Linked DNA regions of Caenorhabditis elegans. The protein of the gene in region 1 interacts with the protein of each later gene in a pairwise test. Each region holds a gene or a part of one and is shown in the gene's direction. Other genes may lie near its edges.

Region 1 (3,310 bases):
TCGGACATTTTTGAGCCAAAATTTCTGAAATTTTGGACTTTTTCACCAAAAAAAAATTCGAAAAATCCAATTTTCAATGGGAAAATCGAATTTGATCAGTTTTTAGTAGAAAAATTGAATTTTCGCCTATTTTTGAGCCAAAATTTCACAAATTTTGCACCTTTTTCACCAAAAAAAAATTCGAAAAATCCAATTTTCAATTGGAAATTTGAAATTCGATCAGTTTTTACTAGAAAAATTGAATTTTTGCCTTTTTCGAGACAAAATTTCACAATTTTTAGTTATTTTTCACTGAAAAATGAGTTTTCGAGCCGATTTTCTAGATTAAAAACAACAATTTCAATAAAAAAAAAAACAAAAAAAAATCAATTAACAAGACTTCAAAAATTTGCCCTGAATCCACTGCCGGTACATTTTCACTTGTTTCGCTCGATTCACAATGAGCCGTCGATCCACGTGCATCACTTTCTTCTGAAGCCCGTGCTCGGCGAGCAGCGTCTCCAACTCTTCCATATCGAAGAAATAGACCAGGGTTCCGTCTCCTCGGCAGTACAAATTTCCGTCGATTAGTCGATCTTTTTTGAATCGCAACTGCGTTAAATCGTATCTCCCGTAGTCTTTGAGCAGCAGACTTCCACCGGGTTTGAGCAGCCGGACGAGATTTTTCAGAGCATTTTTGATATTATCCGGATGGATAGCCGACAGCACGTAGATACACACAATATAGTCTAGAGATCCGACGTTTGGAGCCTCCTGGGAAGCCGGTTGCGTGATATCCCACACAAATGCGTTCATTTTCTCCGGATCGTAGGCGTCCTGGGATTTCAGGACTCGAATCGCGTTTGGAGCATAATCACAGCTGTGCAGCATGAGCCGGGAGCTGGAATTGTTCACTTGGAGCAGTGGGAACGTGGTATTTCCGACGCCACAGCCAACTTCCAGTATTTCTATCTTTTCTTTCTGAAAATCAAGGTTTTTTTATGTTTTAATGTTTTTTTTTTGAATATTTAATGCTCAAATTACCTGTAAATTACCTGTAAATTACTCTCATCCTCCACATTAAGCTCTGGGAACTCTTTTAACAGCCAATTCCTGTCTTTGAAGAATCTATTCTCATTATGAGCATAAAAAGCATCCCATTGATCCGCTGGGGTGCTTAAAAGCCGCATCGCCTTCTCCTCATCAACCTTCATCGACTTTTGACCTTGCACAATCCGCTGAGCTTCTTCCTGTTGCTCTGGGGACCATTCCACGTCGTCCCATGCGTTGTGCTCGAAAACTTTGGTGTCATCGGTCAAAAATCGGGTTCCGAAGGGGTTGCATTTGGGTTTTTCGTCGGGATTCTCTTCGGCGCAGGCCATGATTGGCTCGTCTTTCATTTTATTACCTGTGAGAATTGGAAAATAATTTAAACAATGGATTTTGAGAGGTAGAAAACGAGATAAAACGGAAGAAAATCCAACAGCAAAAGAAGAAACAGAGCAAATAATAAAATATTGCTTTCCACGAATTGATTTTCCGTAAAACTGCTAAACTAACTTTATACGAACTCCCGTAGACCGCATTTCTCACACTTTTCTCCTTGGCCAAAACGCAGCGGATAATTTCGGCGACCTCGTTGTACAGCGCATCGGTTGCCATCTAAATTTGAATAGTTTTCGACAAAAAATATAATTTTTCAATAGTGGAAAGCAATATTTCAAGATGAAATTGAGAAAAAAAGCAAGAAACATTAGAAAAAAAGAATTAAAAATATTTTTTGCAATGGAGCGCACTTTCTCGTCTGCCTTTGCGCGTGATGGTGTTTGCGTCCAGAGCGGAAAAAATTGAAAATTTGATTTTTTAAATTTATTTTTTTTCTGATTTTTCGCATTTTAAAATGCATTTTCTATTGTTTTTCTTCAAATATTTGCTTAATTTTGAATATTTTTCAGATTTAAAACATGGCCTGGCGAAAGAAAACCAAGAAAGCCGCTCCGATCGCGCAAATGAGCGAGGAGGACGTGCGAGAAATCGAGGAGCACGTCGAAGAGCTCGTCCGATCGCAATTGCCACTGGGAAGAGTCAAAAAAGTGGTCAGAATGAATCCGGACGTCGAGATGCTCAACAATGAGGCACTGCAATTGATGGCGAAGGCGGCGGTGAGAGAAAATCGCATTTTTTCTTCGAATTTTCATTATATTTTTTTAATTTCCAGGAGCTCTTCATCAAGGAGCTGAGCAACGCGGCGAATCAGAACGCAGCGCTGGAAAAACGAAAAACCGTCCAGACGAAGGACATTGGTTGGTGGAAAAAACTCAAATTTCAGCTAATAAAATCGATTTTTTGCAGATAAAGCTATCAAGAAGACGTGGGCCTTCGCTTTCCTGGAAGATGCTCTGGATGGGTGGCCGAAGTTGGAGCCAAAGAAGCGAAAAGTGAATGCGAATTCCGGTCAGGATGAGACGGTTGTAGAGGAGGAAACGATTATCGAGGAAGAAGAGGAGATCCACGTGGAAGAAGAAGAAGATGAAGAGCTTCCGGAGACCGTTCTCGAAATCGATGAAAATGAAGAAATCGCGAGAGATAAATTTGCCGAGCAATTTTGATTTTATATATTTTTGTATTTAGTTTTGATTTTTTTCTCTTTATTTGAATAAATTTACTTACATCAACGATTTATTCTTCTTCGTCTAGTCACTTTTTTTTCAGGGAAAATAAATTTTCAGGAAGGTCCTTCGGAATTAGAAATGGACAGCAATTTTTGATTTTTTTTTTCGCCAAAAATACGGTATCGGGTCTCGACGCGACAAATTTTTGAAAAATATGTGCGCCTTTAAAGAGTACTGTAGTTTCAAACTTTCGTCGCTGTTGAATTTTAATCGATTTTTAAAAAAGTTTTCTTTGATTTATAATTATGATATATTCATGAGTTAAAAATATATTTATTCATATTAATCCTGAAAATATGAAAAAATCAATAAAACTCCAAAGCAATAAAAGTTTGAATATACAGTACTATTTAAAGGCACACACCCTTTTGCATTTAACAAAAATGTATTTATTTATCGTGTTGAGACCGGTTTCGCGTGTAATTTGGAAATGACTCAATTTTTTTAAGTAAAAAATTTTTTTTTTAAGTAACGAAAATACTTTTAAAAAACATGCGAAATCATTTGAATTTACGGTTTTGCCGCAAATACCTAACGAGACCCAACAATTAGGGGCTTTTAACATTTGTTTCCGTTTTAAAAAAAATATTTTCATAGAACTTGCTTACTTTTCAAAATAGATGTAGGAAAATTCATAGGATGCGTACAATTTTGCCGAT
Region 2 (3,133 bases), on another chromosome or scaffold:
ACGCCCTTCACTTTTTCTTTTTTTTCTCCTTCTTCTCGCTCCCACCAACACCCCAAAACATTTTGAAATACGCGGGCACGCGCCTGTTTGCATTTGAGTGCGCGCGCATTGCCCCGACGACAGCCGAGTCGCACACTCCAACACAGCCGGGTCGCGTGCGACGCGGCTGTGCAGCGTGCGACGCGCCCCGCCTATCTCGCTCTCGGCTTCGCTCAGCCATCTTCTCTTTCGTCTCCCAATGCCACCCATTCCTCCACTCTTTGAAACTGTTATCTTTTGGCTCACTTCATTCTCCTCCACTTTCGATATCTTTTCTCTGTTGTCTTACGAATGCTGCTGCTGATAAATGCGTACAATCTGATGTGTACTCTTATCGAAAAAGTAGCCTGTTTGTTGACATGAAATATCTTTTGAAAAAAGTTCCCGATGACACATAACTGGGGAACTCTTCTTCTTTCATCTATTTCATTATTTCTAAACTGTTCAGATTTAAACAATTCACGTCAAAAGTTTTTCATGTTGCGGGCGCAAATACTCTGTACTCAAGTGCCTCCGAGCTTTGCAAATTATATTTTTAATACTCTGAAGAGCCTTATTCGTACTAACATACTCCTGTTTCGTGTCATAAATTGGGTCGCTCAAATAATTACCTTGCCGTTCTTCCATTATCCTTATCTATCTCTTTGACCTCCGCATTCCGCATTCACAACCGTTATTATAACTACTACCGAGTACCCGGTGTTCAATTAATTTAATTTTGTATTTTTTGCAGCCAAATCCGTTCAAAATGGTTGACCGCAAGGCTGTGATCAAGAATGCCGACATGTCCGATGACATGCAACAGGACGCCATCGACTGCGCCACCCAGGCCCTCGAGAAGTGAGTTATGAGCTTTCTCATTGCATTTTAAACGCTTGAATAATTCGATTGCCATGAACAACACTTGGTCGCTTAGTAGAGAAAAAGTGTAAAGAAATGTCGTTTAGCTGTTTGGAACGGCTCATCGGTCCCTTGATTTAAACTAAAGTGGACGGCAGCCCGAGTCTAGGGGAGGGGGCGAGCAGGAGCGACCAGCTGATCGAACAAATCTGATCCTTGTGCAAGAAAAAAGCGAAGCGATGAAAGTCTAAAAAATAAAATCAAAACATTTTTTTTTCAGATACAACATCGAGAAGGATATTGCCGCTTACATCAAGAAGGAGTTCGACAAGAAATACAACCCAACCTGGCATTGCATCGTCGGAAGAAACTTTGGAAGCTACGTGACCCACGAGACTAAGCACTTTATCTACTTCTACCTTGGACAGGTCGCCATCCTGCTATTCAAGTCTGGATAAATCCCATCCTGTTCTTAAAAAACATTCAATGATCTTTAAATTGTGACCTGATCCTACGTGTACCTTAGGTGGCGTAGGATCTTCAGTGTGCACTCTTGTTAAATCTTCCTTTTCCTCCCAAAAAACATTTTCCTTCGTCGCATTCTATTTATTTAGCTCAAACTGTTCATTTTCTTTGAATCTTCCTCCATCACCCATAAATCTTCTTACGTTGTCCGTTTTTGAGAGAAAAGAGAACTCATAATATTTTTGTTCTCGAAAAGTGCTCGCACTAAAAGTAAAAATAAAAGGATAGCTTTAAATCCCTTAATTATCTGTGCTTCATTTTTATACTCGAAACTGAACAAGGCAATAATTTAAGATAGAAATGTCATCAAACGATGTGGATCAAAACGATGATCGAATTGCTCAAATGATGATGCCAGCAGCAATTGTGACTCGGCTCATGAAAGAAGACAATATTTCTGCATCAAAAGATGCTCGAGACGTCATCGCTCGTGCTGCAGCAGTGTTTCTCATAAACTTGTCCGACGTTTCGGCTCAATCTGCTCGCGATCAGAAGCACAAGACGATCTCAGGAGATGATGTTGTCAAAGGACTCCGAGAGCTTGAGAATACTTCTATTCACAATCATGTAATTATGGGTTTCGAAAGAGTTAAGAAATTAAAATTTCCAGTGCAAGTCCGCCAACGATAAATGGAAAGTTATTAGTCAGCAGAAGGCTCTCGCTCGTAAAAATCCAGTTGAATCCAGCTCTGTCAATGCTGAAATGGATGACGACATTATTGACGATACTCCTGTCGATGGTTAGTTCTATTCTTTAAATCTGAAGTTTATCTGAATAATTTATAATATTGCAGATTCATTGATGAACTGATCACTCATAACCAACTCATTCCTGCTCAAAACGATCCTTCCTGTAAAATCTCATTCCGATTCTCAACGCGTGTCCCACTTTTGTCTCTAACATTTCACTTTGATAAACAATTTTGGCCAATAGTTTATTGAATGTACAAAACCCCGAAAAAAAATTAAAGCGATCTGAATGCCCCCGAAAAAGTGCCCATAAATAAGTGAATCGGCATGATCAATAAAATAGCGAAAAATGAGAATTGAATAATTGCACGAAGTTTGGCGAATCCATTGTCTGGAACTCGAAAGTCTGCACCAGAGGTAGCTGATCTCTTCCACATCACTTCCCAAGAATCGAATTTTTGCTCCTGTGTATTCTTCTTGAGCCGTATCAATTCATTGCAATTATTTGGGAATCCACGAGAAAGTTCAATAATTTGACGACTCAACTGCTCAGAATCATCGAAAAGATATCCATTAGTTTTCTCCTCAACGAGCTCATCAATACATTTGAATTTTAGAGCCAATGCTGGAACTTTAGCTCCAAACATATCAACAACTTTCATCGGAAGATCCAATCCAGACGTGCTTGTGTGCAAAGAGATTCCTAAGTCAGCAGAGGCTAGAATCTTTGGATAATCTTCTGCTTCCAACCATGGAGTCAATACATCGACATTCTTCAGATTTTTCTCGTGAATTTCTTGTAAATATTTCGCTTTCAGTGGACCTTTTCCAGTGATAATCATCAAAACTCGCGGGAGTCCGATTGTTTTGTCATATGCAACCAGCGCATCGAGAAGAATTTCAAACCGTTCATCAGGTGTCCAGGATGTGGAAGAGAGAAACACAATGGGTCGAGTTGTTAGTAGCTGCACTACTCCGTTCGAAGATTTATGAGTCAGAATTGTGGAGTCTTCGTCTTTTCCTTGTAGAATTCGTTCCT

What was found.
Region 2: the proteins of pole-4 (region 1) and pole-3 interact in a two-hybrid assay, tested with the Caenorhabditis elegans proteins (2 studies listed by BioGRID).

What each region holds. Positions count from the first base shown.
Region 1 is NC_003280.10:14,967,979-14,971,288, reverse strand, and holds pole-4 (Transcription factor CBF/NF-Y/archaeal histone domain-containing protein), read left to right. Parts: upstream 1-1,934; 5' UTR 1,935-1,943; coding exon 1,944-2,141; intron 2,142-2,197; coding exon 2,198-2,282; intron 2,283-2,331; coding exon 2,332-2,588; 3' UTR 2,589-2,656; downstream 2,657-3,310. Other genes in the region: metl-2 (tRNA N(3)-methylcytidine methyltransferase), read right to left, coding at 370-960, 1,035-1,379; 26S rRNA (cytosine-C(5))-methyltransferase nsun-5, read right to left, coding at 1,540-1,641.
Region 2 is NC_003281.10:6,461,419-6,464,551, reverse strand, and holds pole-3 (DNA polymerase epsilon subunit 3), read left to right. Parts: upstream 1-1,695; 5' UTR 1,696-1,704; coding exon 1,705-1,971; intron 1,972-2,014; coding exon 2,015-2,144; intron 2,145-2,198; coding exon 2,199-2,215; 3' UTR 2,216-2,336; downstream 2,337-3,133. Other genes in the region: dlc-1 (Dynein light chain 1, cytoplasmic), read left to right, coding at 788-879, 1,160-1,337; algn-1 (Chitobiosyldiphosphodolichol beta-mannosyltransferase), read right to left, coding at 2,370-3,133.